Linked DNA regions of Cricetulus griseus. The protein of the gene in region 2 purifies or fractionates together with the protein of the main gene of each other region. This does not show direct contact. Links are inferred from orthologs where the notes say so. Each region holds a gene or a part of one and is shown on either strand. Other genes may lie near its edges.

Evidence for each region. The genes of interacting proteins can lie anywhere in the genome.
Region 1: the proteins of Pnma2 (region 2) and Mark4 purify together in Homo sapiens (co-immunoprecipitation; 3 studies listed by BioGRID and IntAct, with this or other methods). This does not show direct contact. The link is inferred for Cricetulus griseus from reciprocal best matches to the Homo sapiens genes PNMA2 and MARK4.

What each region holds. Positions count from the first base shown.
Region 1 is NC_048602.1:27,909,570-27,913,442, forward strand, and holds part of Mark4 (MAP/microtubule affinity-regulating kinase 4), read left to right. Parts: intron 1-124; coding exon 125-190; intron 191-387; coding exon 388-458; intron 459-2,120; coding exon 2,121-2,177; intron 2,178-3,873. UniProt on the Homo sapiens protein: Serine/threonine-protein kinase. Phosphorylates the microtubule-associated protein MAPT/TAU. Also phosphorylates the microtubule-associated proteins MAP2 and MAP4.
Region 2 is NW_023276807.1:221,896,201-221,899,514, reverse strand, and holds Pnma2 (paraneoplastic antigen Ma2), read right to left. Parts: upstream 1,856-3,314; coding exon 761-1,855; downstream 1-760.

The DNA of each region.
Region 1 (3,873 bases), on a different chromosome or scaffold from region 2:
AAAGCCTGGCCAACAGTAGGAAGCCACTGAGAGGGGAGCCACTGACGGTTCTCGGGATGGCTGTGGGGTGGGGTGGAGAATGGTGGCTCTTCTACTCTTACCTAACCTGCCCCCCTCCCCCTAGTCAAGCTCTTTGAGGTGATAGAGACAGAGAAGACGCTGTACTTGGTGATGGAATATGCCAGCGCAGGTGAGGCCACACCCCCACACCCTGCTCTCACATACCCCCTGTACCCCCGTGCCCTGTGCTCACATACCTCTGTACCCCCATACCCCCTGCACCCCCACACCCTGCTCTCACATACCCCTGCACCCCCCGTGCCCTGTGCTCACATACCCCCCTGCCCCCTGGCTCCAGCCCTGACCCCTCTTCCTCTCCATCTGCAGGAGAAGTATTTGACTACCTCGTGTCCCATGGCCGCATGAAGGAGAAGGAGGCCCGAGCCAAGTTCCGACAGGTGAGAGACGGGGTTCCCCACCCCTGGCTCCTGGGAAGAGGGTCTGGGTGAGGGCAGAGCGGTGTGCCCTGCAGATGCGTGTACAGGGGGGAGGGCATGCAGGGACTCAGGTGGGAGGGGGCTGTTGGGGACCTGGGGGTGCGAGTGACAGAGTGTAGATGCGAGGGCGGGAAGATGGGAAAAGTTCCAGAATATGTGTGGCAAAGCTGGGGTGGTCCCCCACCACTCGAGGGTGGAGCCAGGGATCAGGAGCTCAAGGTCATCCTTGGCCACGTAGAGCTCGGGGCTAGCCTGGGCTATCTATATAAGACCCTGTCGTGAAAGGGAAGGAGGGAGCGGAAAAGGAAATGCTCGGGAGATGGCTCAGTGGACACAGCACCTGCTGAGCGAGCCAGGGGCCCAGAGTTTGGCTCCCTGCCATCCGTGGGGTGGGTGGGCAGAACGGGCACCTCCATCCCTAGGAGACAGACGGGCTCGCTGGGGCTGGGTAACTACAGTAGCTAGATTGGCACGCTCTGGCTTCAGCAAGGGAGACACCCTGCCCCGTAAATACAGTAGAGAACAATTGAGGAAGGCCCCATGTCAGCCTCTGGCCTCCGCACGCACGCGCACATTCACTGACACGCACGTGAGCATGCAGAAACACACGTACACAGTCCCGTGGAAGATACAGAGAAAGGTGTGTGGATCCTTGCCGAGGTGTGTGTGTAGGCGTGTGATCCTGCACGCGGTGGAGTGCAGGGTGCGGGTGGTGCTTGGCGGTGGCAGGACCTGCAGGTGCTGGTATCGGGTGTGTCATGGCGATGCCCCGGTGTGGAGGATTCCGCGGTCAGGGTGTGGACATTGGTGGGTGAGAGTGACTATCAGGTGAGAGGACTTACCAGGTGTGAGGTGACTGGGCGTGCAGGTGTGAGGCGAGAGGGGACGTGCAGGTGTGAGGCCCAGGTGTGAGGCCAGAGAGGACGTGCAGGTGTGAGGCCCAGGTGTGAGGCCAGAGAGGACGTGCAGGTGTGAGGCCCAGGTGTGAGGCGAGAGGTGCAGGTGTGAAGAACAGATTCAGGGTAAAAAGATGGTAGCTGTGAAATTTGAGAGAACAGGCGTGAGCGCTGTCAGCATGTGTGGCCTGTGGGGGGGGGGGGCGCCACTATATTTAGTATTGGCCCTTTATGTAGGGTAAGCACCTCCTTCAGGTGCTTTTGGGGGTCAAGATATTAGCTGTGGCGACTTGGGCCCACACACCTGTTTCCAACATGGTACACTTTGGGAGTTTCCAAACATGGGCTAGTCCCAAGGGGCTACAGCTGTGGACGTGTGAACGCGCGCGCGCGCGTGTGTGTGTGTGTGTGTGTGTGTACACGTGTGTGAGCGTGCCTGCCCGTGTGAGCGTGCCTGCCCGTGTGAGCGTGTGTGTGTGTGTGTGTGTGTGTGTGTGTGTGTGTGTGTGTGTACACGTGTGTGAGCGTGCCTGCCTGCCCGTGTGAGCGTGTGTGTGTGTGTGTGTGTGTGTGTGTGTGTGTGTGTACACGTGTGTGATCTCACTGTCAGGGTGCTGAAGTTTGCCAGGGTCCCATAGGGCCTCAGCTTGTGCCCAGGGGAGGTGCTGGGTGTGGAGGTCCCCTGTGGGTGGTGGCTCCATGGGCTGCTGACTGTCTTCTACCGTAGATCGTATCCGCGGTACACTACTGTCACCAGAAGAACATTGTACACAGGGACCTAAAGGTAAGCCCCTCCCACTGTGACCCCAGGCACCCCAGCCCTGCCGCCCGGTACCCAGGCTTCTTCCCAGGCATTTGTTGCATTGAGGAGGTGGGCTGACATGGGTTGGGACCAAGTGTCCTGATGGCCTGAGGACATCAGGGTGAGATACGCTATCAGCCTTCGGCCTTCAGTGCCTGGATGTATCTCTGGCGTTCTAGAAACTGTGAGAACTTGACTTTCAGGCCCAGGTCACTCCACAGAGTCTTGGAAGCCCAGGGTCTTGGGGTGACACAGAGGTCACAGCACCAGCACCGGGGGATGCCAAAGCGACCCCTCGGGCTCAGGCCCGGCCCCGCCTCCTGCTGCGGCCTCTCTGGTGACTCCTAATCAAAGAACACAGACATCTCAGACCGGATAGCCCAGTAGGCTCCGTGCAAGCCCATCTGGGTCATCCTTTGCGAGCCCTACTATGTGCTGACCTGGACACTAAGGGCTTGAAGGACAAACTCTGCCTGAGGACTGGAGTTGTTTCATTGTCTTTGAGAGCCGGGGGTGGCTTTAGTGGATACAGGTGTTTGGCTTGCTGTTCCCATGCGTCAGCCTGTGTTCAGTGGGCGGGCACCTGGTGCCCACAAGGTGGAAGGAGTGAGAACTGACTTTATAGTTAGCCTTTCACCTCCACAGATGCGCGCACCCCCATCCCACTCACCGGTCATGTGCACATAATAATAAAAACAACAACAGAAACCCTGGGGCTACCTGAGTGTGGGGCGTACCTGTAATCCCGGAATTTGGGAAATAGACACAGGAAGATCAGGAGTTCAAGGCCAAGGGCTGTGAAAATGGTTTGTCATAGATTCCTTTGACACTTGCAAGGTCCTGGGTTCAGTCTCAGAAACGGGACAAAAGGAGATCAACGGGAGTTTAAGGCCAGCCTCCGTTACATTGAGGGGATCAACGGGAGTTTAAGGCCAGCCTCCGTTACATTGAGGGGATCAACGGGAGTTTAAGGCCAGCCTCCGTTACATTGAGGGGATCAACGGGAGTTTAAGGCCAGCCTCCGTTACATTGAGGGGATCAACGGGAGTTTAAGGCCAGCCTCGGTTACATTGAGGGGATCAACAGGAGTTTAAGGCCAGCCTCCGTTACATTGAGGGGATCAACGGGAGTTTAAGGCCAGCCTCCGTTACATTGAGGGGATCAACGGGAGTTTAAGGCCAGCCTCAGTTACATTGAGGGGATCAACGGGAGTTTAAGGCCAGCCTCCGTTACATTGTCTCAAAACAGCACCAACAACAAAAGCTGGGGGAAGTTGTGTGTGGTGGGTCTCGCCTGTAATCCCAGCTCTCAGGAGGATGACTGTAGGTTTGAAGACAGCCTGAGCTAAGATGCAAGCCTTGTGCCAGCTACAAGCCTGTGATCTCAGCACTTTGGGGGTGGTTGCCATGAGTTGGAGGATAGCCTGGGCTATGCGGTGAGATCAGTGCCATCTTGAGCCACATAGACCCCATCTCAACAACAACAAAAAAGGAAGCCTGGTTTCCAAGACATGAAGCCCACTGTGGGATGGCTGTGGAAACTTCTGGATGCTTGCTCTGTCTGTGAGGCAGGCAGGCTGGTTTGCCATCATCGGCTGCTCGGTTGATAGGGAAAAATCAACCTGGAGGTTGTGCGCCACCTAGCGAAGGCGACTGGAATTGACCAAAGTGGTTTTCCA
Region 2 (3,314 bases):
TTTTCTTTTTCTCTTTCTTTCTTTCTTTCTTTCTTTCTTTCTTTCTTTCTTTCCTTCCTTCCTTCCTTCTTTCTTTTTGAATTAGGTAGAGGTTTAGCAAGCAGCCATATTTAAAGAGAAGAAAAAGCCCGAAGTACTAGAAAAAGCTTATTTAGGCTTGGGCCCCAGGCAAAAGAAAAGAAAAAGTGAAAGTTCCGTTTTGTGGTGGCTCTGTAGTGACTGTACAGATAGCAGGGATTCTGGGAAGGAAATGTACATGATCTCATTAAGGGGATAATTATTCCTCCCCTGTCTTTAGCATGGAGTTAGATGAATCTGCCTTCCTGGTGGGCAGTCCATTAGCCAGGTGATGGACCTACCCAACTGGATTAACTCTTACGTTTTGGTTAGTTTGGAATGTTAGGGTTCCTTTAGTCTTGTATTCAGTTACACTCTGCTTAAGAGTCCACCAAACCACTCTACTCAGAGTCTAGGCATTTTTTTTTTTCTCAGAAAGAAAAGTTGAGATGGGGTGCTAGTGATGGTATACTCCTCTAATCCCAGAACTCAACTTGGGAGTCCTGAGGCAGGAAAAGTGCAAGTCAAGGCCAGCCTGGGCTATAAGTTGAAACCCTGTCAAAACAAAAGAAAAAAGAAAATATCTGGTTCTAATGCTTGACTTCAATCCTGTGTATTAGAGAAAAATTCCACTGTAATAGGATTAGCCTCATCAAGCACTGTCCCTATGCTCACCAGGGGGTGACAGGAGTAGGGGTGTCTCTCAGTTGTTCCTCGAATTGTCCCAGCGGCCATAGCCCTCTCGTTCCCCTGGCTCCTCCCTGCTCTCATGTTCAAAGTAGGCCTCTTCTTCTTCTTCCTCCCGTATCACCTTCATCAGCTCCAAAAAGGTGGGTAGTGGGCCCTGATCCTTCAGCTCCCGTAACCGGCACCATAGAACATTGGTGAGGTTGGCCCCGGCCATGACCTGCTCCAGGCGTACCTGGTCAGCAATGTTTCGGGGAATAGCCCGTTTTTCCACGGCTCTTCGGAGCAGAGTTTCCAGCCGGAGCACGTAGGCTGAGATTTTCTCCCCTTCTTGCTGATAGGTCTTTAGGTATCTTACCTGCGAGCTCCTACGGCTCTCCAGGCTCCCAAACACCTGCTTAAAGGCTTCCAGACACTCTTCCACACTGATGGATGGGTTGTCTCCCTGTACGATGTGCATGAGGTCCAGGGCAGGGCCGCGGAGGCTCTCCATCATCCACTTTTTCTTTTCTGCCTCTGGGATGGGCCACTCTTTGGCTATCTCAGTAGCCTGTTCCAACCAGATCTCGAAGGACTCCTCCTCCGGGGCAGGTACTGTGTTCCCAGAGAATACTCGCAACTTACAGTACCTCACAGGCTGCAGAGGCCTTGGAGCTTGAGCCATTGCCTGCCCCACCAAGTGGGCCAGTAACTCAGGGGATGTGCAGGTTGGGGTAGCTGGAGACACTCCCTCCTGCTTCAGGGCTCGGAACATCCCTGCAATGGTCTGGCCTTCTTTTTCTAGAAAAAGGTTCAATCTCTGGAGAAACTCACTGTCCTGGTTAGGGGTCTTAAAGATCACTTTCCAGACACCTCCTTTCCCCTGCACCTCACTGGGGACCACAGACATATCTGTGTCCTCCACGAGTTCTAGTAAGACAGCATTCGTGTTGTCTTGCTTCTGGAATATCTTGCCTAGCAGGCGGTAGTTGCCCACACACTTGAGCGCCTCCTGAAGGACTGCCTGGATCTCAGGCTCACCACAGTCGGCTGGTATGCCAGTCACCATCAGTGACTTCTGATCGCTCACACTCATTATCTTGCACCACTCCTCCAACAGTGCCACTGCCATCGCCCTAGGGTATGCTTCTGCACACAGTGCCTGCCTGGCTCACTTCCCAAGTAGCTCAGAGCCTTGCGGACCAACGCTCTGTCCTTTTACTCAGTGTCAAGAACCAGGCACTTCCTGTGTGTCTTCGGACCCACGGCAAGGTTGCTGGGTGGACAGGGTAGGCTGCAGTTACCAGCCCCGTGGCTCTGCAGTGGGTTTGCTGCCGTTTCTGAGAGCCTCAGGCAGCTGTGTGGTGCTGACTCTTGTCACTGTGAAGCACCTGGAATGACTGCTCGACCCAGCCTCTCCCGGTTTCTGTCACTTTGTCTCTACAGTCAATGAGGAGGTGGTTTTCACTCTAGCACCCAAAACTCTGGAAAGTCGTCACACAGCGAGATGGTGAGGACGCCTACGGAAACAGAGGTTTGTTTTTACTACGCAGACCTCTACTTCCCAGGACACACCCACACTGTGGTTTGGAATGGAGCTAGGGGTGGACCAAGGGCTATGACTCCCACTGCACCTTTGTCCACCCCACTCTGTTGGACCCCCTTCTTTGCTCACTGTACTCAGGGCTAGGGGAGCAGCTTAAACCCCTTCTCTCCACCCCAAAGCCCCATCAGTGGGTGGGATTCAAGACCTTCACCATTCGAAAGATGAAATTAGGAGACATAGTTAAATACCTGTTTATGTGTTCCGGAATGTTCCTCAAGAATCAAGGAGCATGTATTCAGCTTCCAGCTCTGGAAGATGTCTCCCACCTCTGTACAATAGTATGGGTGTGTCTGAACTTCATCCAAATCAAGCTGTCCTGTTACACACAAACATGAACAATGTGTTTTTAGGCCTAAAATCTAGTAATAAAGATGAATGCACTTATTAAAAATATAAAGGTTCAGTAAAGGATGGGAAAAAAGTGACAGTCCTGCACAATTTAGTAGAACATCCTAAATAAGATAGTTGCTGCACTTTGAATAAAAACACCTCCTAGTTCTGGGTATACTCCTCAGTCTGTAGAGTGCTTGCCTACCATACGTGAACAAAGCCTGGAGTTCAATTTCCAGCACCACATAAACTGGGCATGGTGGTACATGCCTGTATTCCCAGCACTTGGGAGGTGGAGGCAGGAGGATCAGGAATTTAAGATCATTCTTGACCTCATAGGGACTTTGAGGTCAGCCTGGGCTACATGAGAATCATACTTAAAAACAAATACAACTGCACTGTGTGTGGTGCCACTCTCAACTGTTGTGAAGATAAGGCAGGAGGGTGCCAAGTTTGAACTCAATCTGGGCTACCCCCAAGAAATCTCGTCTCAAAAGAAGAAAAAGATATATATAAAAAAAACCTAAGTAGAATCACTCAGACCTTTCAAAATAATTTTTAATGGGTATAATGAAGAAAAATTGAATCTCAGAAAAACAAGCACACCGTGAAGTTAGGAATCAGTCCTCCTTTGCTGTCTTTGAGTGTTACACGG